Linked DNA regions of Callithrix jacchus. The protein of the gene in region 1 binds, or shares a complex with, the protein of each later gene. Links are inferred from orthologs where the notes say so. Each region holds a gene or a part of one and is shown in the gene's direction. Other genes may lie near its edges. The genes, in order: KCNQ1 and KCNE3.

What was found.
Region 2: the proteins of KCNQ1 (region 1) and KCNE3 are in contact, whole or in part, in a cryo-EM structure (PDB 6V01), measured with the Homo sapiens proteins. The link is inferred for Callithrix jacchus from reciprocal best matches to the Homo sapiens genes KCNQ1 and KCNE3. Residues at the interface, in NP_000209.2 of Homo sapiens: Arg116, Pro117, Thr118, Gly119, Trp120, Cys122, Phe123, His126, Phe127, Phe130, Leu134, Leu137, Ile138, Val141, Leu142, Ile145, Gln147, Tyr148, Arg181, Met238, Val241, Asp242, Gln244, Thr247, Lys362, Asn365, Ile368; in NP_005463.1 of Homo sapiens: Asp54, Asp55, Asn56, Ser57, Tyr58, Ile61, Met65, Phe68, Ala69, Val72, Gly73, Leu75, Ile76, Leu77, Tyr79, Thr80, Arg81, Ser82, Arg83, Val85, Lys87, Asp90.

What each region holds. Positions count from the first base shown.
Region 1 is NC_133511.1:129,005,466-129,019,706, reverse strand, and holds the end of KCNQ1 (potassium voltage-gated channel subfamily KQT member 1), read left to right. Parts: intron 1-8,034; coding exon 8,035-8,271; 3' UTR 8,272-9,295; downstream 9,296-14,241. UniProt on the Homo sapiens protein: Pore-forming subunit of the voltage-gated potassium (Kv) channel involved in the regulation of cardiomyocyte excitability and important in normal development and functions of myocardium, inner ear, stomach and colon.
Region 2 is NC_133511.1:66,456,010-66,470,978, forward strand, and holds the start of KCNE3 (potassium voltage-gated channel subfamily E member 3), read left to right. Parts: upstream 1-8,029; 5' UTR 8,030-8,183; intron 8,184-8,367; 5' UTR 8,368-13,623; intron 13,624-13,957; exon of another isoform or gene 13,958-14,092; intron 14,093-14,969. UniProt on the Homo sapiens protein: Ancillary protein that functions as a regulatory subunit of the voltage-gated potassium (Kv) channel complex composed of pore-forming and potassium-conducting alpha subunits and of regulatory beta subunits.

The sequences.
Region 1 (14,241 bases):
GCTGAGCGTCCAGGAGCATGAGGCCACGTGGCACCGGCTCGCGTCAGCGGATACGGCACACACAGACCCCTGGGGGCTGTGACGAGGTGAGGGCTGAGCCGAGGGAGAATCCAGGAAGCTGGCCTGGCCAAGAGGAAGAGAGGGGAGGCCCCGGTGGCTGGAGCCAGCTGGGGGAGGGGAGGCAGCAGGGGCTGGGATCCCTTGGCTCTCACAGCCACGATACAGACTCCGTTGTTTGTTCAGGGTACAAAGGGGGCTTCTCCAAGTTCTCAGCAGAGGAGCAAGACCTCTCTGACCAGGGAGATGCAAAGAGAGGTTATGAGGTCGCCTGGGAGAGGGTGGGTTCCGGCTGCCCTTGCCACTCCCCCGCTGGACACCAGGATGAGCCTGTCGTCTCTCACCTCCAGAGAGCAGGGCCCTGGCTGCCAGCATCAAAGCGTGTACAAGAGTGTTCGTTAGAGCAGATCCGTGTAGTCTCCACAGTACAGGAAGACTCGTGGGAACTTTGTGCTGTCGACCCTCGAGGAGCACAGGGCTGGGGCACCGACCTCCGATCTGCCCAGGCGAAAGCCCGAGTATAAGTTTTGACTGCCCAGAAACTTCACTAATAGCCTCCCGTTGACTGGAAGCCCTTCCAGTAACATAAACAGTCAATTAACACATATTTGTATGCTACACATATTACAATAAAGTAAGCTAGAGAAGCAACGTTAAGCCAGTCATAAGGAAGAGAAAAGACACTCGGTGTAAGCAGATCATCGTGAAGGTCTCCGTCCTCATCATCTTCATGTTGATTTGGCTGAGGAGGAGGAGGAGGAGTGGCTGTTACCATCTCGGTGCCAGAGGAGGAAGAAAATCCATGTTGAAGTGGACTTGTGTTGCTCAGGGTCCATGATATACAAAACGGACATCCTAATCCAGTGGGGAAAGGGTAGCTCATTCCGTAAATGGTGGGGTATCAAGAGGATAACCCACAAAAGTAAGCCTTCAGGTCAGAATCAATCCCATGTGATCCAAAGATTTAAGGGTAAAACACAAATCAGGAAAGTGTTAGGAACAACGTTTTGGCATTGGAACGGAGGAGGCCCTTCCCAGCACGCACAGGGTCAGAAGGCAGAAAGGAAAAGATGGATGGCTTTGACCACATGAAAACCTGAAAACATAAAACCTCTGTGTGACAAAGCAAAAAAAACACCAAATGCCATAAACCCACTCATAAGACAAATAGTACACTGGGGAAAAACGTGTGTGATGCGTACTTGACGTCTCCTTGACGTGCAGAGTCCTTACAAATCAGTGAACACGAAAAAGCTCATCTTTGCTGAGCACCCGCCCTAGGAGGGAGTGGGCGTAGGGGGCTTGTACCCCTTCACGCCAGCCTTGGCGCCCCAGGAAATTGGCCAGGGCCTCATTTACTGATTCAACAGATATTTGTGCAGCACCAACTCCACGTATTTACTGGGCACCTTCTAGGCTCCAGGCTCTGGGAGACTGTCTGGAATTGAGATGGTGACCGCGTGGCCTAGAGCTGGGCCTCCAGCTGGTGGCAAAACAGCAAGCGAGGAGATCAATAACCAGGCCATCTCTGGGAGGGTGAGGGCCGTGGGGACAGACACGAGGGAGGCCACCCAGGATTTTGAGCTAAGGTTACACAAAGCAGCAGAGGACGGTGTTCCAGGCCGAGGGAACAGCGGGGGCAAAGGCCCCAGTGCTCGACCAACATGGTCACACTCAGTGCTGGGGAGGGGCCAGTGGAGGAGACACACAGGAGACTGGGTTTTACTCCCAGTGCAGTGGGAATTCTGCAGGGGAATTTGGCAAATCATCGCGGGAGGGAAAACTCAGTCTGGCTGCTGCCTGGAACACGTGGGGACGGGTTGGGGGCACAGCCACACGGCGAGGGGGTTGTGACAGTCCAGGCAGAAGATGCCGCCAGCCTGGGCAAGGGCCGTTGGGAGTAGGCTCAGAGCACACACTCCAGACCAGAGAGCCACAGACACCAGGTGCACACAGGGAGCCTGAGTAGTCGGTCACACCCTGTGGGTGCAGGATTCGGGCCGGCTTGCAGGGAATGAGCTCCCGCTGGGACACGATAACCTTCCAGGCTGTTGGGCGGCATGCCTCGGAGCCCTTGGGGAAAGCAAATAGCTGATGGGAAGCCCTCGCAGAGGTCCCAGCAAGGGAACCAGAGTTGTGTGTGATGGTCCTGAGAATCTCCCACAGCGGTCAGCCAGGGACGTGGCGCCCCTGAGGCCCTCGGGAGGCCAAGCATGGTCGGTGGGCAGGGGCTGGCAAAAGCAGGTGTCGGCGGCAGGGGGAAAGGTCTTTCATCATCCTGGCCCTCTCTCAGAGGGAAGCAACCCCGCTCCTGGGGGGTGGTCTGCAAGGGCCAGCCTGGCAGCTGCAGCCCCAGGAAGGGTGCTGGGGTGGTGCCGACCAGGCCTCCACCATGTGGTCGTGCTGTGCCAAGGACATGCTGGGGATATAACTGACCATGAGTGGTGTGGGTCCCCAGCTTCAGCAGGGCTTCTTCTGGCTGCTCGGCAGACAACAGCAAGATACCAGGGATGGCAGCGAGGACAAGGCTGTGGTCTGCAGCCTGAGCAGACACACTCAGCTCAGCTCAGTGCCTGCCAATTCAGCCCCTCCATGAGCGCCAGTCCCAAGCCCTTGCACAGTGGCTGCCACATTGTGCTTGACTTTCTGGGTCAAGACTCACCCAGCTTGGACACTGCCCAGTCGAGGGCTGCAGGGGACAGGTGGAGCAGCTGGTATGTGGGTGACCATGGGTCCCAGAGTCAGTGCCATCTGTCTCCCCTTTGGGAGAGGACCCCTGGCACCAGCCCACGCACCCCTGCTGTGGGACTTGCCGCTTGTCCCAGCAGCACTCCAACTCCTGTGAGGGGGGCGGGGGCTGCTCACTGCCATAGCACATGCAAAGGCCCAGGGGCCTGGGGGCACAGGCAGGTGCACCCTTGGGCAACTCAGAGAAGAACCTGATGGGAAGTGAAGGGAATTGTGCAAAACCACCACAGGTGGTCCTCACATTCGTGCACAGTCTCCCACACTCTAGAGCCACAGGCACACATGTGCAGACTCACCCGGCATGCCTCCCGTGTGCACGACAATGCTCCTTTGGCCCCAGCTGCCAGGCACACATGTGTGACTGTATGTGCGCACTGGAGCACTCCCTAATGATCATGGTCGCCAGGTGTCTCGCCAGGCACCAAGCTCCACGCTGTCCCTGGTGTCCTCGTGTGTCAGGCTGCTTGATCCCCGCAGCATCCTCCTGGGGAAGGGGCTGCAGCCACCCCCACTTTATAGGCAGGGAAACTGAGGTTCAGAGAAGCAAAGTGACTCGCCCAAGGTCACCCAACCAGGAAGCAGCAGTGGCAGGATCAGACGGCAAGAAGGCTGCTGCACACTCCCTCGAGGAGGTGTCATGCCCCGGCCAGCCTGTGTGCCCAAGGCCCGGCAGTGGTGTGCCAGGCTCTGAGGCCATCTCACACTGGCCACAGCACAGCAAGTTCCAGCAGGCCCGACAGTAAAACCTCGGTCATGAGCGACACGGTCGATTTTCACGCAAGAACTGAAGCACTAAAGCAAAATCAAACACGATGGGCCGCACCCTGCCATGAGCTACCAAGTGCTGTGACCTGTTGCCGCTCGTGCCCGGCTCGAGCCGGGGCTGGCATCCAATTGCTCAGAGCCTGGTATTCAACATTCTGGGTACCACTGTGAGGGGAGCTTAGTAACTTCCTCAGAGTGGACAGGAGGAGGGCCAAGGTGACCTTTGCTCTGTGACCCTACAGAGAGCCCTGGGAAGGCCCTGCCTGGCCTTTAGACACTGCCCAACAAGGATGCCAGAGGGAGCAGTGAGTTTGCTGCACCCTGGGGAGCTGTGGCCCAGGCAGAACACAGGAGCCCCACCCTGGGAGCCATGGGTGTGCCCGGCCTCTCCTGCCTGTCCCTGGCCAGTCTGGCATCCACGAGACTGGGGCCTTTGGCGGTCCTAGGCGGGGATCAAGGCCAGGCAGGTTCTGCAAAAATTTCCCTTGAAAGACTCTTTTTCAAGATTTTCTTTTGAAAACAAATTCATAACCACATCAAACAGGAATCCCCGTTGCCTTGGGTTTGATCGCTGGCCGCCCGGGGCTCCCTAACTAGCTGTTATTCTAATTGCTTTTTTCTTCCGAGGGCTGCATAGGTATCTTATGGTTATTAATTTGGTGAGTGCAGGCTGGGCACAAAGCAGCTTTTGTCTGCCTTGCCTTTTAATCACTATCAAATTGCAAATAATGGCGGGGGCTGAGATCCCCAAAATTGATCTGTCCCAGCAGCTCTTGGGGAGCCAGCCCCCATGCCCCGGGCAGGCACTGCCTTCCCCAAGGGCGGCAGCTCTCCGATGGCACCTGCCGGGATGCACCTTCCTGTGGGTGGGGTCCGGTGTCGGCCACACGGGGTACCTCTCAGGCTCCTGCATCACCACCAAAACCAAATATGCCTGCAAGACAAAGGTACCCTATGCAGAATGGGGGTGGGAGCCTTCAGGGACCCATGCCATGGCAAGTGCTTGGGTCAGAGCTGAGCCTCAGGGGCTGCAGAGGAGCCACCCTTAGCCCAGACCTGGGCCCTTCCCATAATGGGAGCAGCATCCTGATGCCTCAGATGTGGACCCGCCCTGGGCTTCCAGCCCACATCCTGGCCCACTGCCGGGGCCTTGTCTCCAGCAGTCAGGATCATGAGAGCATGTCTCTGGGGCCAGAAACCCAAAGCCAGCCCCTCAAAGCCCCAGGCACCACAGGCAGCAGTTGAGGTGAGCTTGGGACCGGCCAGAGCCGGGTATGTGCTGATGCTGGCCCAGGCAGCTTCAGCGAGAGCTTCCGTGTCAGTCGGAGGCGAGCGTGGCCCTGTGGCTGCCTCCCTACCCCAAAGGTGGCTGAGTGCCTCTCTCCACGGTGCCAGGGCTCCCTGCCGGGAGGAGCTGTCACCAAGGTGGCTCAGCCACACCCTCAGCCTGCACACCCTGCCCGTGGCCCTGCCCCCCTCCCAAGCATCCCTTGTGAAGGCCTCCATGCCCATTAGCACATGTGGGCTTGGACAGATGTTCAAGTGCCGTAAAGTGAAAATTTATGAAACCGCAAATGTTCATCTGTGATGTATTTGGTGCTTTAATTAATGCCAAACCAATCGATACCCAAGCTGGGGCCTGCGCAGTTAGTGACAGTAAGCCAGGCAGAGCCGACCTCGTTCAGCGCTACCAGCATACAGGGCCCAGGGAGCTGGGTGGGCCTAGGACACAGAAGCTGGGCTTTGCCCTGGAAGACCCAGGCTGGCTGCACCTTTGATCCGCTATGGTCTCATAGGTCTCTGGGCCTCAGTTTCCTCCTGTGCACCCTGAAGACCGGGCAACCTCCCATGCCCCTGTCATGCACAAGCAGGTTGTGGGACTCAGAGGGCTGGGCCTGCTGACAGCGGGAGCCACAGGGGCCAGGGTGTGGGTGAACGAGAACAAGACCTCAGGCTGTCTCCCCTCCCAGAGGCCCCGCCCCACCCTGCCCTCTGCTGTCCCCAGCTCCCTCCCTGTCACCTACCCTGTGTCCCTCCTCCCCCTGCCACGGCAGCTCCGTGGTCTCCAGATGGAGACTCGGGGCAGGAACTTCAGGGAAAAGATGGGAGCCATGGTACCCTCAGCAGTGACCCTGGCCCTCTTCCTGGGCCTCAGTGTCTGCATCTGTGCGATGGGGTGTAGACCTCTGTGGCTGGTCCCCAAGTGGCTTTTCAGGGCACTAAAGCGCTGGCTGGTCCTTGCCTGTGAGGGAGCCTGGTGTAGGGCCCTGGCCCCTGCCCCTTTGCCGAGGAAGCCCTGCACCCTTTCCTACATAGCCTGGGCTTCACATCAACACCATCAGGTTGATCTGGGGAAAATAAAACATGGGGCTCCCTCTGGCCTGGACCATCAGACCTGGGACGTGCCCCTGCCCCTGGGCCTGGGACAGAGGTGTCTCAGACAGCCCATATCTGAAGACAGAACTGCAGGGGAGCTGGAAGCCTCCATCCAACAGCCCCCTCCACCCAGGGCTGGGAGTGGGTCCCCTGGGCCCGTGCTCTGGGCAGGGCACAGTCCTACCTCCCAGGTGGAGGCTGCCCACCTAGCCCTCTAGACAGACACTTGGCCCCACTCTGGCAGGAGCCCCCTCATCTCAGCCTCTCACAGTGCCCTGCTGGCCACCTCTCCCCTACACTGCTCAGCCTCCATGGTGGCGGGGAGGGCTGATGACCACAGCACCCAGCCTCTGAAGCTGGCCTGGGCCTGCCCAGACCCTGGCAAACTGGTTGCTCCCTCTCTGGCCACCTCGGGGCTCGTGCCCACAACACTCAGCAGCATGTTCCCTCGGGTGGTCTCACCCGCACAGCATCCAGCCCTGGCCCACACCTTGCCCCAAGCCTTTCCGGCTGGATCTGCAGGGGGGCCGGGCCCCCAAGGGGCCAGGCCTGCCCGGAGCAGCCTGGGGTACAGACATGGAGAATGCACAGCCAGGTGGCCCCAGCTCCCGCCTGCCGCCTGTCCTTAGGGCCAGTGGTTGACGCTGTGGCTGAGTCATCTTCGTGCCTTTCCGCAGAGCCACACTTTTCCCAGAAGCAGCTCTGCTGTTCAGCCCTTATCAGGTGTGATCTGGTTGCCCCTCCTCCACCACTTCTAGGCCTTTCCAAGGCACCAGATACCCTAGGTGGGGGAGGGTCTCCTTCATTCTCCACAGAGCATGCTGCTGAGGGGCTTTCCTGTAAGAACGCTGCAGGCTGAAGGCCCAGCCCTGTCTCCTGTGACCACCATCAGAGCTGTTTGTCCCCACTAGACACACTCATGCTGGGGCCCCAGGTCCACCCTCCTGGTGAGAGGGGTCCCCAACCTGGACTCCCTCCCCTGCACTGGTCTGCCCTGGGGTTGGCCCTGCTCCACCCAGCACCTGCTCTGAGGGTGCTGGCCTGCCGGACAGGCTCTCCCACTCTCCCCATCAAGGTTGGATGGCCACTTCCCACCTGGGGACGGGCTCCAGCCTCATTCCCCAGCGGTGCTGTCCTTCCAAGGAGCTCTCAGACCACCTGGCTCTCCACTCACCTGGGGCTTTTCTGTTGACTCCGAGGCCCGGCGAGGCCTCTGAGCACCTGCTCTCTGAGCCGGCTTCATTTCAGGCTCTGTCCTGCCTTGACCACCTTTGCTGCACGGCCACCCCAACACGCAGCTCACTGCAGAGCAGTCCCTGAGAAGGCGAAGAGCACATAGCTAGCCAGAGGGTGCGCTGGGGGGCACTGCCCTGGCCACAGGGCATGGATGCAGAAGGCATCTGGGAAAATAGCAGTGCCCAGCAGGTTAAAGAAATGGTATAGCGGTGCCTGGGGGGTGACAGCCCCACCCTACCCCCTGGCAGAGAGCATCGCAGAGGCACAAGCCCTGGGTCTGCAAGCCCCTCCTGGAAGTGGCCCAGTAGAGGTATCCCTTACACACCAGGCAGAGCCCAAGGCCTCTGCCTTCTCAACCACCTGAGGCCCTGCCCATGAACCAGCCTTGCTGAGCTCTGCCCTCTGCCCAGTTCTCCTCCAGACTGAGTAGATGAGGCCCCAGCCTCCCTTGACCCTTACCCTAAGCCTTGCCTCCAGAAGCCAAAGGCTGCCACAAACACAGATATTTCAGGTCTGGGTCCCTGGTGCAGACCCTGTGATGTAGGGATATGGCACAGATGCTGAGCCAGCCCCAGGGGGCACAGGAGGAGGAGAGGAGGGCCCTGACCGTGAGCCTCCACGCCTGTGGACACACAGGCACTTTGACATGCACGAGATGGACTGCAGTGGCCACACGTGCACATTCCTCACACACACATGGGCGTGACCAAGGGCCTTGCAGACATAGGGTGTACACATGCGTGCCGCCTGCACACAGCAGAGACGGTTGGCACCTTCTCTTCCCCGGCCCCGAGCCCAAGCCCAGAGGCTGCCTCCTGCCACCAACTCTCTCGTCTGCCTTTGTCCCCACAGGTGACGCAGCTGGACCAGAGGCTGGTACTCATCACCGACATGCTTCACCAGCTGCTGTCCTTGCACCGAGGCGGCCCCCCTGGCGGCAGCAGCCCCCCCAGAGAGGGTGGAGCCCACATCACCCCGCCCTGCGGCAGTGGCGGCTCCATCGACCCCAAGCTCTTCCTGCCCAGCAGCGCCCTACCCACCTATGAGCAGCTGACCGTGCCCAGGAGGGGCCCTGATGAGGGGTCCTGATGGGGGATTGGGGTGGGCCTGAGAGGGGTGGCGAAGAGTGGCCCCACCTGGCCCTCTCTGAGGGGGGCACCACACGGCCATGGCTTCCTCCTGAAAGGCCCAGAGAGGAGCCCCGCTCTCATAGGCCCCAAAACCCCGTGGGCCCTGCTGTCTGCACAGCCTGAGCCCGGGGGCTCAGCAAGCTCACCTCTTCCTGGCCGGTGGGTACTAGAAGCTGGCTGGGTGTGGGGGGCCCCGTCTCAGGCCTGAGTTCTCATCCCTACTGCCCTGGCCCCCACATGTGATGCTGACATCACTGGCATGGTGGTTGGGACCCATCAGCAGCGTACCAGGCCTGGCCCACCTATGGCCAGGAAGTGGCACGAGCTGAGCACAGACCCAGACTGCTCGGGCCAGAGGGCTTCCTGAGGGGAGGCAGAGCAGCCCCTGGACCCCAGCCTCAAATTCAGGACCCTGCCAGGCACAGGCAGGGCAGGACCAGCCCTCACTGACTACAGGGCCACTGGCAATAAAAGCCCAGGGGCCCATTCAGAGGTCCTGGGGCTGGCTCCCTCACTCTCAGGAAATGCCGGCCCCCATGGGCAGGAGGGGACTGTGCAGGCTGTTCCTGAGCCCCCAGCTTCTGGCAGGAGGGACAGTCTCGCCATCTCCCCAGGGCACAAGGCTGAGTGTGGGAAATGCCCCCTTCCCTCCCTGTCTTAGACTGGCAGCTCTTCCTGGCTAGAGAGAAGCCCCACCCCCAACCCCCACCCCCCAGCCCGCTCTGCACAGGGCTCCCGCCTCCAACCCCTCACCCAGTCCAGCAGCCAGCCAAACACACAGAAGGGAACTGCCACATCCCCTCGCCAGCTGCCGAGCCGCTGAAGAGTCACGGTTTCTGCAGGGAACAAGGGTTCCTTCTGGGCATTACATCGCATAGAAATCAGTAATTTGTGGTGATTTGGATCTGTGTTTTAATGAGTTTCACGGTGTGATTTTGATTATTAATTGTGCAAGCTTTTCCTAATAAACATGGAGAATCACAGGCTGGGCTGGGCACTGCTCTCACCTTGGTTCCTGGGGCATCTACGGGGTCTCTGGGACAACATGGGGCTCAACCTCCATATCCCCAGCCTGCTCCTGCTGATGCCTGCGGGACTGTAGGTTGCTTCCTCCCCAGGAGACCCCACGCACCCACAGACAGGACCCCCAGGGTCAGAGGGGCTGCAAGATGCCAGTGTAGGCTGTAGCCCAGCGATGTCGCTCCTGACCTGGGCTCTGGCAGCCCACCCTTGGGCCTTGACCCCTGGGCCTCCCATATGCTCACCCCTGTCCTCCTCTGGGCCTCTGTTTCCCCATTGGTAACACAATGCTCCCTTAGCCTGTCCAGTCCTCTGAGCAGGACAGAGGGGCCACCACCCCATCCACCCAACCTGACCTAGTGGTTACAGCTCTTTGCAAAGCCCTCCTCTCCTGAGGTGGAAACAGCACCTCACTCTCAGACACGGACACACTCAGCCAGGCAGGTGCACCTGCTGTGCCCGCGCCTCAGCTACTGGACCATTTCTTGATCCTTCAAGACTGTAGCCCCAGCCAGGCACGGTGGCTCAAGCCTGTAATCCCAGCACTTTGGGAGGCCGAGACAGGTGGATCACGAGGTCAAGAGATCAAGACCATCCTGGTCAACAAGGTGAAACCCGATCTCTATTAAAAATACAAAAAATTAGTTGGGCATGGTGGCGCATGTCTGTAGTCCCAGCTACTCAGGAGGCGGAGGTTGTGGTGAACCGAGATCGCGCCATTGCACTCCAGCCTGGGTAACAAGAGCGAAACTCTGTCTCAAAAAAAAAAAAAAAAGACTGCAACCCCTTTCTGTCCTCTTTCCAGAGCCCACCCCGAAGTCCCAGGCCATCAGGACTGGGGGCATCTGAGCTCTCAAAGATGGGGCTGTCCTGGGTCCACTGGAGGCAGCAGGCAGCCAGCAGCAGGTGGCGGGGACAGGAGCCCCAGGTTTCTGTTTGGAGTGGGGATGGAAGCCTTGTCAGAGGAGAAGCCCTAGGTCCCACCTGGTGCCGAGCCTGCTGGGCCCATGCCCCCACCCATGGGCCTTGGCATCCGGCCTGGCCAGCACTGAGCAGGACGCAAGAGGTGGAGGGGCAGCGTGGGGCTGCCCAGGCTTCCCCTGCCTGCACCCACCCGGGAGGAGCAGGAGCCACAGTTACTGAAAAGGCAGGAGCTGTTGTTTCCTTGTTGGGTAAATATTTGTGGAAACCCCGGATGCCGGCCGGAAAGCAGAGCCCTCCACAGCGCCCGGGCCCCCCAGCCCCTGCCGCCCACCCCGGGACCCCAGCCCACAGGGAGCTCCGAGGGACCGCCCATCTGGGCCAGGCGAGGCCCCGGCACCCACCCCGCCTTGTTGTCCGTATTATGGACTGTGCACAGTGCCCGAAGACTCCACTCCTGGACCGGCCATTGCAGCCCTCTCGGGTGTGAAATGCAATTTACCTGAAATAAAGCCCAATTATGGAATTAGCTAATTAAAGCCTTGGTAGAGGCTGGGCCCAGCCGGCCGGGCACTCAATGCCCGCTGGTGCCCGTGGACTGAGGGAACAGATGGCGCCTCAGCCCGCCATGCCGGCCACATTCCTTCACTCTGTCCCCCGATAAGTGACCTAGACAGCACACGACCATCTGGTGTGTGGCACGTCCTGCAGGCCCCGGACAATGGCCCGGCAGACCTCTCCGAGAGAGGGCCGTCGCCCGGGTAACGGTGGCATGTGCAGCCCTGGCCCATTCACGGCCCCTCCCGCAGCCCCTTTCTTCGGGCCCTTTGTGGCCTCGCCGCGGCTGCCTGGCTACTCTGGCTGAGGACAGCCGAGAGTGTGTGTCCGCAGAGCAGGGCTTTGTCTCCAAATTGGGCTCCCTTATTAAGGTCCTCGGGGTCCAATAGGTGCCAGGAGCATCTGCTGGGGGTGGCTGGGGGAGGGGCTGCTCCTGCTTCCTGGGCACCCACCTCCTCTGCCAGGCTCCCCTCCCCCATCGCCTGCCCTCAGATGGCCCCTTGTGGACACTGGGCGTGTCCCTGAGGAAGCCAGTCTCCATGGCTGGCACTGGCCAAGCCCGAGGTTCTCCCATCTTCTGGCCAGGGGGCCAGGAGGAGGAGGCAAGGGCCGGGCCTGCCTGCAGCCCCTCGCCTCCCACCCCAACCCTGTCTGCAAAATGGGGAACAGTAAAAGTGCCACTGGAAGGGGTGTCACGGACAGGGGCTTGATGGAGGTGAGACATGTCAGCTCTGGGCCTAGGCCAGGCACACAGCAGGGACTTAATAAAGGAAGCCAGGCAAACCACCTGGGTGGGTGATGCTGGGCTCTGCCTCCTCAAGGCACTCCTGCCTGGCCAGCCTGACCCCTCGGAGCTCTTTCCCAAGGCCCCTCCTGCATCCAGCCTCACCCCACCAAGCTCCCTGCCCCTCAGAGCCAGGGAGAGCTGTCCGGCTGGCAGCTCCCCATCCTGCTCCCAAGCCAACTGTGGCTCCCCACTGCCAAGCAGGCCTGTGAAGTCCCACAGGCTGCAACCCTGCCACTCACCCTGGGCATCCCCTGCCAGGAGCCCAGCTTCTCCTGCCTCACCCTGTACTTGATGTCCAGCCCCAAGCTCCCAGGAGGCACCGTCCTCCTCCCCACTCAGGACCACCTCTGAGCACCATCTTGGCAGGCAGCCCCCCACCAGCATGGCGGTCAGGAGTCAGGCCCACCATTGGGGTGTAGGGTCTGTGCTAGGCCTTTTGGGCCCCAAAAACAGGCAGGCGGCTAACAGTGCCTATTACAGGACTGGCCCCAGCTGGGTGCCCAGGAAGTGCCAGTTAAATTAAGAAATAAAATAAAAATGTAGATGGAGGCTGCCCCCCATTGCATGTGCAGCAGAGGTACCAGGACCCAGGCAGGGCATCAACAGGCATCCCTCTAAGGGACAGGAGAGGGGCCCACACCTGTGCCCTGAAGGAGGGGGTCTGGCCAGGGGTTTTGATCTGGAGCAGCCGAACAGCTGCTGGAGGGAACAGAAAAGCAGCTGAGATCCAGGGGCTCCTTGGGATCTTAAGCGTGTCTCAGCTTCACCATTCTCGGCCCCTGACAGACCAACCCTGCTCTTGCCTCTGGCCCTATTCCTGTGGCCCTGGAGGTCCAGCGAGTTGGGAGATCAGGCCTGTGGCCTGTGTCTCAGCACCCTTCACCTTCCCTGTCCCTGGGCCACTGCGTCCCCACCCAGGTTAGCCAGAGTCCCTGGCAGCCAGGCCTGGAGTATGCTGGGGGCAGCCAGAGCCAAACAGAGCTTCCGTTTCTGCTGGCCTCTGCATGCAGACAGCAAGGGCTAGGACCCCTGGAAGCTGACAGGTGGAGCCCAGCCCTTTCCAACTCCTTGTGAAGCCTCAGGGAGGAGGCCTAGAGGGCCTGCAGTCAGGCAGGACAGGAGGGCTGGGGGCTGCCACCCCATCCCAAGGCCTTAGAGGCCAAGGCAACAGCCCATGCCCACCCAGGGACTGGCTGTGTAACAGGAGGCCTGTTGACCTCAAGATCCTTCTCTGTCGATCCTGCTGTGACCTCCTGGCCCTGGCTGTGTCGCCTGGCCCTCCCTTCAGCACCCCTGCGAGGCACCAGCCTCCTGCAACTCCCCTGCCCTGAAGCCCCCACAACTCAAGGCACCTGAGCGAGGCAGAGGGTGGAGGAGGTGAGCTGCCCAGCCCCAGGCAGCCCTGCTGGCCTCCAGGGAATGCTCCGGTCCCCTCCCCTCCTCTTCCTTCTAGACCCTCATCCATGGCTTCCAGAGGGGACAAGGGTGCCCTTTATTCCCAGAGCCAAGCCAAGCCCTGCCCCCAACCTGTCCCCAGGCTTGGGTTTCACACGTGTCCAGGCAGCGAGCCCTAGGCCCAAGAAGACACAAGCTGGGCCCAGAGGTGTCCGGGGATGGCTCAGTGGGCAGAGTCCATCCTGGTGCCTTCTGGGGCCTCAAACACCCAACTCCTTCCACTTCCTGGGAGTGGCCCCAAGACGCAGGGGGCAATGCCAAGACGGAGTTCAGGGCTTGTCACCTGGGTACAGTGACCCCCAGCTGCATGACCCCACACTCTGGAAGCCCCCCACCTTCTCCTCTCCCCACCACCAGCCCCTCTACCACGTTCCCCGTGGCACACTCCTTTCTAGCCTGCAGGATACTTGTGGTCTTTCTGTGGTATCACAGCCGAGCAGCATCAGGGAAGGAGGTTCAGGCTCAGGGAACCAAGCTCAGCTTCGCCTCCCACCCAGGCCTGTGGCCTGGGAAGCTGGCGGCGGCAGCAGCAAATCCATGGCCAGGAGGTAACAGGTGTCCAAAGACAGATCACACCGAGGGGAGAGACCCAGCGCAGAAAGGCCTTAGAGCTCGTGAGGTCCCCACCTGGTACAGACGGGGAGACCAAGGCAGGGGAAGGCCGGGCCAGGGCAACACCTGTTCTGTGACTTCGCTTTGGAAAAGCCTCAGAGAAGCACTGGGACTTCCAATAGCAGAGAAGTCGGTAGGTCAACCAGGAAGCCAGAGGCCAGGGAGGAACTGAATGGCTGAGAGCAAGAGCTGGCATTGCCGGACCTTGGGCTGGAGAGGCCGGACCTGAGGACGAGATGCTGCAAACTCCAGGTGGGCTGAGGACAGGTCCTCTGCTGGCCCACACAGGCCAAGAAGCCACAAAGCACTGTGCCTGCCTGACACAGCTAAGGGTCACGTGGGCCTTTGGAACATGCCCACTGGCTCCAAGAAGGCTGCTGTTGCACCTGCCCCACAGAAACTCCCAAACTTCCCAGTTGGATCCTCAAGAAACTCTGTTACGGCCTGACCATGAACGTGATTCGCCAAACCCATCTGAATGACTTTCGGTTGGTTCTTAGGCACGTCCCTCCCCTAGTCACCCCTGACACCCACACACCTACACACACCTGCACACACAATACACACACCCACACA
Region 2 (14,969 bases), about 63 Mb from region 1:
AGGATCTAAACAAGATCTAGACACTGTATTTGGTTCATGTGTCTCACAAATGTCTCCTAAATCTCTCTTTGCCACCACACAGGGCTAATTTTTTGTATTTTAGTAGAGACAGGGTTTCACCATGGCCAAGATGGTCTCGATTTCCTGACCTCATGATCTGCTCGCCTTGGCCTCCCAGAGAAATCTCTTATTATCTGTAAGTTCCTCTTCCATCTTTTTATCTTTGCTCCTCTTGTTATTTGTTGAAGAAACAGATGTTTGTCCTGTCAAGTTTTGGATTTTGTTCATTGTGTCCTCCTGGTATCATTTCACTTGTCTGTCTGTCTTGTACATTTCCTGAACATTGAGAGGTAGCTCCTGGGGCTTAGTCTGATTCAGGTGTTGTTTTTGTTGTTGTTGCTTTTCGTTTTTTTTTTGCATGTCTGCTGCTAAGTGGTAGTGTGTCCTTACAGTAAGAGGCATGTAATATCAAGCTTTTTTCTCTCTCTCTTTTGTGATGATCATCTCCTAGATGCATTATCTTATTAGATAATGGCTAACATGGTGAAACCCCGTCTCTACTAAAAATACAAAAATTAGTTGGGTGTGGTGGCACACACCTGTAATCCCAGCTACTCCGGGGCCTGAAGTGGGAGAATCACTTGAACCTGGGAGGCAAAGCTTGCAGTGAGCCAAGATGGCACCACTGCACTCCAACCTGGGCAACACAGTGAGACTCCACATCAAAAAAAAAAAAAAAAAATAGAAAGAAAAAGAAAAAAGAAAATGTTGTGACCAGAAACGAGCAGGAACCTAACTCTTCATTTCCTCTAGGAGTCATAGTTCAGTGTTCACAATTTCGACAACTTTATAGAACATAACTACTATAAAGTCAAAATAATACTATATAATGTAAAATTTATACCACATATGAATGTAAAATATGTGACCACGAAGAGAGTAGGGTGGTATTTAGAAGTATACTGTTTTAAGGCTGGGCATGGTGGCTCATGCCTGTAACCCCAGCACTTTGAGAGGCCAAGGCGGACATATCATTTGAGGTCAAGAGTTTGAGACCAGCCTGGCCAACATGGTGAAACCCAGTCTCTACTAAAAATATAAAAATCAGCCAGGAGAGGTGGCACATGCCTGCAGTCCCAGCTACTTGGCAGGTGGAGGCAGAAGAATCTCTTGAACCCAGGAGTTGGAGGTTGCAGTGAGCCAAGATTGTGCCACTGCACTCCAGCCTGGGCAACAGAGCAAGACTCTGTATCAAAAATAAAAAAAGAAGTAAATATACTGTTTTAAGATTCTTCTATTCCTAAGCACTAGAGTATTTTTGGCAGGCAAGCTATGATAAAAAGAAGATGCATATGCATTTACACAGCAGCCACCAAAAATAAGACAAATGGACCTAAGCAGAAATTCAATAGAAGTGACACAAATTAAATTAATAATGATAATTAATTAATGTAGAAGATAAAATTGAATAAAAATAATTTTCTAATTAAAGGCAGAGAAATGAAAATCTGAAAATAGAAATAGAAATCAAATACTGTGATAGACAAATCCAAACATACCAGTAATTTAATGTAAATGGACTAAATACTCTCATTAAAAGGCAGCATTTGTTGACCTTTTATAAATGCAAGCAATTATATGTTATCAAAAAACATACTTCAGCATTAAAAGACATAGACAATTTGAAAACAAAATTATAAAAAAGAAAAAACATATATCCAGTCTGTTAAGTGGTTTTCCTAGCTCTGCTCACACACCTCCAGACAGAGAGCATTTACTACCTCCTGAGGCAGCCTTCCATTCTTGCACAGTTCTGATCGTTAGACAGTTACTCCCCAAAACTGAAATTTGCCACTAACATTGTGGCAAATAATTCTGCCCCCCTCGCAAGACCTCTGAAAAATCCCTGGCCATGCTCTACATCCCTCTCTGGTGGTACTGACCACACTCTATTATAGTTCCTTGTTTCCATGCCTCATCCCATCCAGACCGTGAGCTCTCCAGGCAGCTCTATGTCATCCATAACTTCTTCGGCCCCGAGTCCTGGGCCTCCCACAGAGGAGGTGTCCAGAAACAGTCTGTGGAATCAGGAAATGAATTCTATCTTAGAAGTGGTCTCTTCTTCAAGTTAAGCATTGCTGATTCTACTTATGTTCTTCATGGCTTCCAGACCGCACACCACTGCCCTTATCTCCATAGGCTCCAGTTGACTAATGTGCCCTTAATCTATGTAGCTTGGAGTTGAAGACAACATGTATGGTATGGTCTGGCCAGGTTCAAGCCTGTGCTGGACCCTGAGGGCAGAGATGGGTTCAACTTGGTCCATCTTCAAGTAGGTCACAGTCTTGTAGAGAAGACACACTTGTAAACAAACACGTGCAGTAAAGTGTTACACACACTGAGAGAAGCTTGCATAGGGAACTGTGGGGACATAAAAGAAATGCAAAGTCTTAAAAGGGAGGATTAGGGCAGAAAAGGCTCAAAGTGACACTGAATTAGTGAGAACTTTAGGTTCAAGTGAAAAGAGAATATTTAGATCTCATAACTGAAATGACTGTGGATAGACTTCAGGAACAGATTGATCCAGGGCCTCAAACAATGGCATCAGGACTTGGTTTTTCTTTCTCTATCCCTTAGCTCTGCTGACCTCAAAATTGGCTTCACTCTTTCCTGTGTGGTGCCAAATATGGCTGCTGTTCACACCACACTTAAATTCTATAGCTTAGCCACCCCTACTTTCGTATACATGCAGCCAAAGGCCCAGGAAGGATTCTGGACAAATAATTGCTCTAAGGAGGGTCACGACCTCCTTGGAACCAACAGATGGGACTTAGCCCCACCTGAACCATATGGGCTGAGAGCCAGGGAGGGAAAGGTGACTCCCCAAAGGGAAGAGATACATTTCATTCCCAAAAGAAGGAATTCTGGGAAGGCCAAAACATTCGATGTCCACTATGGCCTCAGAAGATAAGTAAGGAATTTGGGGATAGATAAGAAGACATAGTATGTTCCAGGCAGAAGCAGCAGCATGAGAGTCTCTGAGCTGTGAAGCTGTTCTGGGGAAATCAAGTGCTTGTCTTGCTCCAGACTAGAGCAGGTGCTTTGGGTGCCCCATGTATATTCCCCTAGCCTTTCCATTTCAGTGCCATTTCAAATGTCTATTGGAAATAGACATTTCAGGCTGGATGCAGTGGCACACTCCTGTAATACCAGCACTTTGGGAGGCCGAGGCAGGAGGATCACTTGAGCTCAGGAGTTTGAGACCAGCTTGGGCAACATGGCAAAACCCCGTCTTTACAAAAAATGCAAAAATTAGCCAGGCATGGTGGTGTGCATCTGTAGTTCCAGCTACCTGGGGGGCTAAGGTGAAAAGATAGTTTGAATCCAGGAAGTGAAGCCTGCAATGAGCCAAGATATCACCACTGCACTCCAGCCTGGAGCCTGAGTGACAGTGAGACCCTATCAAAAGAAGAAAGAAAGAAAGAGAGAAAGTGGGGGGGGAGAAGGGAGGGAGGGAGGGAAAAGAAAGGAAGGAAGGAAGGAAGAAAAGAAAGGGAAGGAAGGAAGAAAAAGAAAGAAGAAGGAAGGAAGAAGGAAGGAAAGGTAAAAAAAGAAAAGAAAGGAAGGAAGAAAAGAAAGAGAAAGAGAAGGAAGGATGAAAGAGAAAGAAAAAGAAAGAAGGAAGGAAGAGAAAAGAAAAGAAAAGGAAAGGGTCTATTTCCACCTGCCAGGATCTGCACCTTTTGTCTCAGGACTTTTGGAGGGACTGGGGCTGTCAACCCATGTATCTGGCTAGATGTGCTAAAGAATTCGTGTCCCCCAAGCAGCCCTTTTTTGGTGCTTCCAATCTTCTACCTCCAAATTTATCAATGTTTAGAAAGCAAGCAATAGATATGGGTATCTTTTAGATAAGGGGCAGCACTGACTCCCCTACCCCTTTGCCTCCAATGAGGGTAACTCTGGATGTGTGTTATACCCAGGCCTCTAGGGTTCCCTAGCAGGGCTAAGCTTGCTAAGCGTACACCTTATTATAGGCTCCATTCTCTCCTGTCTTACTTCCCACGCCCCTAATCGTGTTTCCGTGGATCACATCACACATGAACCACTTGTGCTCAAATCCATGACCCAGGGCCTGCTTCTGGGAAAATCCAAAATAGCCTCAAACACATTCTTCTAAAAACAAAGCTTAAGTCAGTGTCAACACTTTGTGTTTTGTTTTGCTGCCACATTATCCTACTTACTTAGGCAGGATAACAAATGTCTATAACCTCTGAGGCACAGACCCTCCTTCCAGGAGCTCCTAATCTGAGGGGAAGCCAATAATAAGCATTTCATGGTTTTCAAAGTGGCTTCTCAGCCATGTGTCCATTTGCTCCTTGGAACCCTGCGGGATTTGCAGGACCACAATTCTTGTTTTGCAAGTGAGGAACACAGAAGCTCAAAGTGAGGCAGTGACTTGGTCCAGGTCCCAGAGCCTGTGATCCCTGGCTGACTCCTTTCTTGGCTTGTGCCTGTGTCAGCAACATTCAGGTGGTCTCTTTTCACTAAGAATAATTAGAGGATCCCTCCTTTCTCTGTGGGTTCAGCCAGAGCTCCAGTAAAGATACCCATATCTATTGCTTGCTTTCTAAATATTGATGACTTTGGAGGTAGAAGATTAGAAGCTCTAAAAAACAAACAGCACTCTTTCCCCCCAGGGGCCGCTCCATCTATTGCCCTCTCTTGGGCTAGAGTCTCTCCCAGTGAGAGCAATGTTTTTCTGACCATGTGGAGGCTCATGACGTTGGGGCCATTCTTCCCATATCAGACTGTATCCTCCCCCAAAAAAGGGACCCACACCAGGATGATACATGTGAAAAAGGGGAGACTAGTGGGATGAGAGCAGTCAGGGGACACAGACAAAGGCATCTAATTTAGGACAGGGGAGATTTCTGGGAGGAAGTAGCATCTAAGGGTGAGTTAGCCAGCTCCAGGAGGAAGGGTGTTCCAGGCAGAGAGAATAGCATAGGCAAAGGCCTGGAGATGACAGAGAGCATGTGGGTGTCCCCCTCCTAATCCTGTCTGGGGTGAAAACCCAAGCTCGCAGCCTCCTCCCACATTCCTTAGTTCTCCTACTCCTTCCTCCTACCCCTCGCCTGGAGCAGGCTGAAAAGGAACTGGGAAGGACCCCACCCATCTGAGAGCTGCACAGCCAGTGCTGGATCCTTCCACTTGTCCCTGCATGGGCCCACCACCCTTCTCCACCCACAGTGGGCCACCTGGCTCTGGAGCTTCCATCTGGGTTGAGCCAAAAGGAGGCAGTGGTAGAAGACCACAGGATGGAAGGGGAGGGAGGGAGAGGTACTTATTCTCCCGGCTGTCTCCCTGTGGGTTAGCCTCTATGAAAGACCACAGCTCCAACCTGGATGCTCTTCCGACCACTGCCCTCTCTGGGTTCCAGTAACCCCTTCCTCCCCTTGCGCTGTCAGCCCAGGTAGTTTCCATCCTCACTGTTGCTAGCCAGACATAGTGCACTATTTATTGATTTCCTAAACCCTCACCACACTCTCTTTAAATACCCATTTTCATTTTTTTATGTCTCCAGTGGTGCAAGAACCAAAGGGTAGATGTCAACAGGAGGCAGTTTTTGTTAAAATGTGAGAACATCTTAGCAATCAGAGCTGTCTGGCTGCATTGCAGGCAATGAGCTCCCTAGAGGTATGCAAGAGAAGCTGGACAGCCTCATGCCAAAACTGAAATAGAGGCGGGGCGTGGTGACTCCCACCTGTAATCCCAGCACTTTGGGAGGCTGAGGCGGGCAGATTACTTGAGATCAAGAGTTGGAGACCAGACTGGCTAACATGGCAAAATCCCAACTCTACTAAAAATACAAAAATTAGCTGGATATGGTGGCATGCCTGTAATTCCAGCTACTCAGGAGCCTGAGGCACAAGAATCACTTGAACCTGGAAGGCAGAGGCTATAGTGAGCTGAGATCACACCACTGCACTCCAGCCTGGGTGATATATCTCCAAATATAAAGAAATAGAAAGGATTCATTAGGCTTATGAGGGATTTGACTAGGAAACTCTTGAGAGTCCTTTTAATTTACATTCTAGAACCCTAAGATGATTCAATTCTAAGACTTTGGTTCTAAGATTTTATTAGCGCAAAAGACAATCCCTATCTTCAAAGAACTCACAATCTAGCAGATGAGGTGGATAACGGTTACTTTCTTTTTTTAAAAAATATTTTATTCTTATTTTTTTAATCTAGGATCAGGATCTGAGACTTTCAGTAACTGTCATAAACAGTCCTACAGAGTAAATACAAGGCCATGTGCAGGATATGAGAAGGAACCCTGACTGAACCAGGACTGTTTCCTCATGGCTAGTCTCAAGAACCATTTGTATCAGAGTCATTTGGGAATCTTGTTTTAAAATGCTGATTTCTGGGCTCCACTCCAGATTTCCTGAATTAGAACCTCTGGAGTGGAACCCAACAGTCTATCTACTAAAACAAGCTCCCCAGGTGATTTTTAGGCAGATTGAAAACAGGTTGCAAGACAGGCACAGTGGTTTGTGCTGTAATCCCAGCACTTTGGGAGGTGGAGGTGGGCAGATCACTTGAGCCCAGGAGTTTGAGACTAGCCTGGGCAACAGGGCGAAACCCAGTCTCTATAAAAAAAATACAAAAATTAGCTGGGCATGGTGGCATGTCCCAGCTACTCAGGAGACTGAGGCAGGAGGATCACCTGAGCCCAGGAGTTCAGGGCTGCAGTGAGCCATAATCACTCCACTGCATTCCAGCCTAGGTGACACAATGCAACCCTGTCTCAAAAAAAAAAAAAAAAAAAAAAAAAAAAAGGAAGAAAGGAAGGAAGAGCGAGAAAGAAGAGAAGAAAAGAAAAGAGAAAGAAAATTGAGATTGCATCCTTAGGTGGGCAGGATGACTTCTCTGAGAGTTGATCTCCAGACTGAGAAAAAGGAATTGTTGGGTCAAAACATGTAATTATAGAATACGGAACTAACATGTTTTGAGGAAGATTAGCAATTTTGTACAATATAGCCACCTCGTAGAAGGTCTAAAAAGGATAGCACTTCTAAGATATATTCTGAGATTCTGTAATTGAGGGTATGTGCCTCAGATATCCTGAAGCAGACCTTTGAAAGGGAGTGAGAGAGCTGGCCTGAGGCTGTTATTAATTATTCTAAGGCAGTGAGCTGGTAAAAGGGTGCTCCACAGGGTCCCTGGGAGACCGTTCCCTGCAACTGTCCCTTCCTCTGCCACTAGCCTCCTGGCTCTTATTCCCCAGCTGTCCCTGGCTGCCCCTGTTCTCTGAAGCCTGCAATGTCACCAGCAAGGAAACAACAGTTTGAGTGAGGGCAGTGTGGTGGGAAAATAAGCTGTTCTGGGGCAGAGATGAGTAAGGTGCCCCAACACAAGTTGGTCAGGCACTGTTAGGAACTTTTGGGGCTTGGTGGGAGGAAACATCTGCCCGTGCTAAGCAGAGAGAGAGGGGTGTGTAGTGGATTTTGGGTCTGGGCTCTGCCACTTGGGCATGTCTCTTCTCCCACTGGGCCTTCTGCATCCTGTGTGGAAAAGAGCGTTTTTGGAAGAATTAGATTATCTCGCTGTTAACCCTCTGGTTTTAGTACTGCGGACTCAAAGGTCTCATCTGATCCCAGACATAAGCCTGTGAAGAATGCAGGCAGGAACTGTTCCAACTTTACAGCGAGGCCAAGGCCTGGTGAGGAGCAGCGACTCGCCCACGGCCACACAGCCACACTGGAGCAAAGCCCACTCCTGGTGATCGGCCTCATGCTGGGCTTGCTGAGGCCCAGCGGAGCGTGAGGCTTTCGGTCTCTGGGCCAGGAAACAGCCGTTGCAGGGGACGGAAGAGTCGGAGCCCACAGCTGGGGGAGGGCAAAGGAGCTGGGCGGAGGCACCCAAGGCCAGCCAGGGGAGAAGTGGGTGTGCTGGAGCCCGGGCGGGGCCGGGGGAGGGAACTCCCGGGGGAGGGAAAAGGGAGCCGCACGCGGGTGGGAACGCGGAGCCAGAGGGTGCTCTGCGCAGTGCTGGGCGCCCGCCGAGTGGACCAGGGCTGGTGGAGCTCACAGGATCACAGCGTCCCGGCCACCCTCGGTCAGAGGGCGTTGTATCCAGCGAGCAAACGGGCGCCCCGAAGCCTTGCGGAGAGGCAGGTAAGGCACCCATCGAGCTGGGAAGGTTGAGCTGCAGCCTGGGGTAGAAATGAAGGGTCTTCCCTCCTCCCTTCCTAGGGCCACAGCGTGCTCTCAGTGAGACTGTGGACCCGAGGTAGGTGTGGGGGGTGCTGCATATACTGAGCCAGTCCTCCCGGACCCTCCCCAATCTTCCCAACCACAGTGATCCCAGAGCAGCAAGTGGGAATCGGGAGCTGGGATCTGCGCGCCCCGCCTGGAATCTGTGGGGACTTGCGCGGGCACTCCCAGCCCTCAAGACGGTGACGAGAAAAGTTCCTCCACACTCACAGACAGGCAAGCGAACATCTGCGTCTGGCAGCCAGTGCACGCGCAGAAACGACACTTCAGGACGCAGTGCAGTCTTATTTGGCCGGAGCCACTGGCTCTGCGAAGCCCACTTGCCCATTCCCTCTACCTCACTGTGTCCCTCACTCTGTCTGACCTAGTCCGGGGAAAGCAGGCGACTCCCAAAAGCATCTTCTGCTGCTAGTAACATAGGTTGAGTTTGGAAGTCGGGAGACTTGAGTTACAGGCTGTGTAAACCCGGGCAGTCACCCCTCCACTCTGTGCCTTGTGCTCGCTTTTCCTGGGTCACCATCTGTAAAATGGGCCTCCTGCTCCTGTTGCCTGCATACTCCATGGGACAGGAGAGGAAAGGGGGATTGGACCTGGGAGTCTCTTACCCTGAAAATAAATGAGTTGGCTGGGTGCAGTGGCTCATGCCTGTAATCCAAGAACTTCGAGAGGCTGAGGCGGGCAGATCACAAGGTCAGGAGTTCGAGACCAGCCTGGCCAATATGATAAAACGCTGTCTCTACTAAAAAATACAAAAATTAGCTGGGCGTGGTAGCACGTGCCTGTAGTCCCAGCTACCCGGGAGGCTGAGGCAGGAGAAGTACTTGAACCCAGGAGGCAGAGGTTGCAGTGAGCTGAGATTGGGTCACTGCACTCCCACCTGGACACAAAGCAAGACTCCGTCTCAAAAAAACAAAAAAGAAAAAGGAAAAAAAAAAAATGAGTTTAGTCCTTGCTTGAAACTCCACCAGAGTATCTCCTCCTAAAATCCCCTCCCAACTCTACCAATTTGCATATAGAGAAACTGATGCCCCAGGGGAGACGATTTACCAAAGGTTGCAATAGCGACCAGACAGAATTAGAACCCAAGTTTCCACAGTCCTAGCCCAGGGCTCTCTCCACTTCACCTATAAAGGCCTATTGTAATTGTGTGAGCTCCTCATCTCCTTGTATGCCTCCACTTTGCCTATTCCTGATGGAGGAGACCCATGCTGGAGCTCTGGAAACTGCTTTCAGTTTCTTGACTCCTTGAGGTGATAACCTCAACCCTTCTCCATCCCTCACTCACTCCATACTTCTTAAAGCACATCCATAAAGTTAATGTGGGAGTGCTTAAAATACCTTCTACAAGGGAAGCAAGACAAGAAACTTGATCTTATTGATGAGGAAAATGAGGCCTAGAGTGATAAAGTTACTTAACCAAAATCCACCGCTAGATGTGTTGGCATAATAGGGGCAGGAACCCAGGTCTCTTGATTCCCTCTCTGATGTGTTCTCCACCAGCTACAGGACTACAGAATGGTACCCCTCAATGATAAGGGACTGCAGGGATGATCAGAGAGGGTGAGAAACAAGGAAGCCTTCTGGTGAAGTTGAGGTTTCTGGGAATCAAGAATAGTAATAATAACCTCCTGGCTGCTTCTGAGGCTAGGAGAGCTGGGGTAAGAAAGGAGACATAGAGATGGCTGTTCTTGGTAATATAGGGGGAAAGAAAAGATGTGGAGACAGAAAAGGAAACAGTGTGACCAGGCTGCTTGATAGTTATCTTGTATTTTGCAGTTTCTAAAACTTTCCCAACTATTGTCTCCTCTAGTTCTCATGTGAGGTAGACAGGGCAGGGATCATTATTCCCAACTTATAGATTAGGTTCAGAGGAAGTAAATGCAGTGCTCAAGGACACAGAGCCAAGCATACAGCCAAGATTAGAATCATGAAAGGAACACTTGAAAGGCAAGATCACAGGCTGAGGGACCGAGAGTTGGACTGTGTGTGTGTGCAGTGGGCAGGTGTATGTGGCCACACCCTGGGTAGGTACACAGGGAAGAGGGTTACAAAGCCATTGCTGGTGTTTTGAAGCCAAGAATGTTTGCCCTTTGGATTGAATGGGGTCCAGTTACAGAAAGCGTCTGGGCTTCCAAAGAAGGCTTAGAATTCTTCCTCCTCTGACTCACCCCACCTGACTGAGATGGCTTCTTTTCTTTGAGCCATCCCTTCCCCAGACCAAATGAAATCTGGAGGTTGCTTTTTAAATATTGTAAGCTGTTTTCATGAATGTATATGCATGTGCCAGAGCAGGAGAATGCACTTACAGAAGTGGCATTGATTCATTTATTCTTATTCTTGAATGCCTGCTAGGTATCCGGGCTGGGAAATAAAATAATGTATGAAGCACAGGACCCTACCCTCATACCTCAAAGTACACAGTTACACACACACACACACACACACACACACACACACACACACACAGTTTCAGTACAGTATAGTGTTCTAATAAGGCTTTGTGCAAAGCACTTTAACGAACAAACAAGAGGGAGAGACTAACTGGCTAGGGAGTGGGGAAGGAGGTGTCCCAGGAGAAAATCTACAGAGATGACATTGGAGCTGGGTCTTGAAGGATGAGTAGGAGTTTGCCAGGCAGGTCAAAAGAGGAAGGGCATTTTCGTTTAAGAAAACAGCATAAGCTACTTGGTTTCTGCCTCCAGCTCTGCCACTGCTGGGCTGTGAGACCTTAAGCAGGTGATTTCCTTGGGGAAGAGGGTCTATTCTTCCACTGGTTGAGTGAGGGAGTTGTACCAACAACATGATCGTGAAGATCTCTTCCAGCTCAGATTCTATTCCTGTGTCCTTCCAACTGGATGCTAAGGTCTACTCCTTTAACTCCCCTCCCACTCCATCAGCTCTCCAGTCCGCAGGAGGGATAAGACCACCAAGGGGACAGAGGCAAAACTGTGCATCCCAGGGGCTGTCTTTGGATTGCCTACCTGCTTTATGTGATCTTTTTCTACCTGCCTCTCTACTCCATTTCCAGACACTGAAGACTCTCATTTTGAAAGAGTAGCTAAAACGGAACAATGGGAAAGACCCAAGTGTAGAGTTTCACTTTTCTCCAGAGCAACCTGAATGAAAACCCCGCTAAGATCCCCAGTCCATCCTTCAGATCACAGCTTCATCCCCCAACTTCCAAGTTAGAAGCTAAACAACTGCAAGACAAGTACATTTTGTGAGAACTGGTTAATGTGTGGGAAATAGCAGGAACAGAGAGTGACCTGGCTCATCTGGGGAATCTGGAGTAGGTCTGGAGCAGTTGGGTGCATGGGAGATGAGAGCATAAAGGAAGGCTAACTCCTCCTCCCAAGCTTACCAACCTCCATCTCACTGGATCCTTAACTAAGATTGGCAAGAATCTGTGGTGCAGGAAAAGGCTATAGTAATAGAGTTAGAGGAGATGATGCCCCACAACCCTAAGAGGCTGTGTCTGGTGTGATGTGAAGCTTTGATGCGAGGGAACACTGCCGTTTGTAGTGGAAAGAGCACCTGAACAGTATCCCAAACACCTGGGTTCTTGTCTGAGTGCTGCCATTTATGGGCCATGTAATTTTGGACTAGTCACTTCTCCCTTCTGAGCCTCAGTTTCCTCATCTATGAAAAGGAGGGGTTGACTCGGTATCTAGATTCTAGATGATCCTTAAAGTCCCTTTCAGATTGGCCATCTGCTCACCTTCCTTCCTCACTGGCCTATCTTCCATTTCAAGGCAAGCCCTCTCCAGGGCAGGAGCTCCGTCTCCCCCATCCAAGGAGCTTGGTAATCAGGGACTCTCCTGGAGAAGGAAGCCAAGGAGCTTGGAAACAGTGGCAAAACTCCTCTGCTGATGACTGCCAGTCCCCAGCTTGAGCCCCAGAGGCAGGTCATAGAGAACCAACCTATGACTTCATCAGCTTTCTGCCTCTCCTAACTCAGACAGGAGGCCCATGCACCCAGGCCCTCCCTCCCACACAAACCCAGGACCTGGAGATATGGAACTATGGCCTCTTTTGTCCTCCTGTCAGAATCACAAACATCCTGGTCTCTTCAGAGAGGCCCTGAGGCATGAAAGGTTTCCTGAGTCTTTATTCCCCTCATGGAACCCTGCCTCAAAGCCTACCCTGCCCTCCACACTGGCCTTTTCCCCTACTTTCTGCAGGGTCTATCTCCTCCTTAGGCTAGATCACCCTGCAGGGTAAGCTGTTAAGAGGAAAAATGAGTAAGTCCCTCACTTTAGCTCAGCTGGAATATTAGGTGTAAGTTAGTCCCAGGGCTCAGAAGCATCTTAACTAGTGAGGAAAAGGTCCACAACCTTCTCTATCTTGGGATTTGAGAGGCTCTAGAAAGCCCCCAAGATGCCTCTCCCACCAGCCTCTCCAACTTCTCATGGTCTCATCATGTGGCTTCATACCATCACAGGATGTTAGAACCAACTGGAACCCCTTCAGAAAAGGGAAGTCTATGTCCAAAGTCACACAAGGAGCTGCTGAACTGGGACAACTCCCTGGGTTTCCATTCCTTCTCTGTAGTGAGGGTATTTAGCCTAGAAGGGCTCTGAAGGCCCTTCCAGCCTCTGCTCTACAAAAATAAAGCCACCACCATCTGTGTACTGTCTAGTGCCAAGCACTACATCATGTTTTTTAATTTTCACATCAAAGCTATGCTACAGATAGTGTTCATTCTGAGTGTTCATACCCTGTCCATCCAAATAGATTGGGTGGTAACACATCATTTGTTCCTATGTAAAATATCAACTCAGCTGCCAGCAGGCATTCTCCCATTCACATCATTCCCTTAGGATTCTAAAAGGCCCTTGCTATGGTAACCCTTAAGAAAGGGAACGTTTCAGGCCGCACCATCAGCTGGCCCCTGAATGGGAGTCCACATGTTTAACAGGTTTCTCATGAAGTCACCCAATGAAGACACTCTGAGTCTGGAGTTGGGGGACAGCAATTAGAGGCCCCTTGGACACTGCATAGTTCCTTTAACTGCAACCCTAGGCTGGCCTGACCCAGCTGCTGCAGGAAGGGGAGGAGCGGTGGGAGAGGTCAGAGGCACAGCGGGACTATTGCACAACCCTTGGGGCTTGGCCTTGGGCAATCCATTCCGATTCTGAAGTTTGTGCTTTGTAACTGGTTCCTTCCTTTTATTCTTTCTCTCCTGCTTTCCAGCTCTGGGCTTTCCCAGGTCTAAAGTCAATACTGAGACCCCAGATGTGTCCAGTGACATCCTGAAGAGGCTAGGGGGTTGAGGAGCCTTAGGGTGTCCACATAGAGAGCCTGAAACTGACTGAGAGCCAGCGGATTTGTCAGCTGTCTGGTGAGTCTTCCACACTCAGATTTCCCTCCCTCTCCCTGTCAGTTAAAGCCCCTTTCCAGTGATACCTAAGAAAACTGAATGGTCCTTCCCCTAGATGGAGCTCGGGATGACTAGGAGCTTTCACCTTCACTATATGTGCTGTGTCCATTCCTTTTTTTCTTCTAACCTACATGTACATATTTGCTTCTCTAAAAAAAAATTTTTTTTTAATTTAATCCTCTTCTACATAATACAAGTGTATGCTCACAGCAAGCCTTGAAGGAGGAGGGCAAGGATGATCATCTTTCTTTGTGGTTTTTTGTTTGTTTTTGTTTTTGTTGTTTTTTTGAGACAGAACTCTTGCTCTGCTGCCCAGGCTGGAGTACAGTAGCACAATCTCAGCTCACGGCAACCTCCACCTCCAGGGTTCAAGCGATTGTCCTGCCTCAGCCTCCTGAGCAGCTGGGAATACAGGCATGTGCTTGGCTAGTTTTTTATTTTATTTTATTTTATTTATTTTATTGCATTTTAGGTTTTGGGATACATGTCTAGAACATGGAAGATAGTTGCATAGGTACACACGTGGCAGTGTGATTTGCTGCCTTCCTCCCCTTCACCCACATCTGGCATTTCTCCCCATGCTATCCCTCCCCAACTGCCCCCAGCTGTCCCTCCCCTATTCCCCCCAATAGACCCCAGTGTGTAGTGCTCCCCTCCCTGTGTCTACGTGTTCTCATTGTTCATCACCCGACTATGAGTGAGAATATGAGGTATTTCATTTTCTGTTCTTGTGTCAGTTTGCTGAGAATGATTTTCTCCAGATTCATCCATGTCCCTACAAAGGACACGAACTCATCGTTTTTTATTGCTCCATAATATTCCATGGTGTATATGTGCCACATTTTCCCAGTCCAGTCTATCATCGATGGGCATTTGGGTTGGTTCCAGGTCTTTGCTATTGTAAACAGTGCTGCAATGAACATTGGTGTGCATGTGTCCTTATAGTAGAACGATTTATAGTCCTTTGGATATAGAGACGAGGTTTCTCCATGTTGGCCAGGCTGGTCTCGAGCTCCTGACCTCAGGTGACCCACCCACCTGGGCCTCCTAAAGTGTTAGGATTACAGGCATGAGCCACCACACCAGGCCTATTTTTTTTAATTGTGTTTTTTTTTTTTTTAAAAAAACTAACATAAAACTGTACCATCTTAGTTATTTTTGAGTGTACACTCAGTAGTGTTAACCAAATTCACCTTGTACAGCAGATCTCCAGAACCTTTTCATCTTGCAAAACTGAAGCTCTATACCTACTGTACAACTCCATGATGATCTCTTTTGGTAGATGAGGAAACCGAAGCCCCACTAGG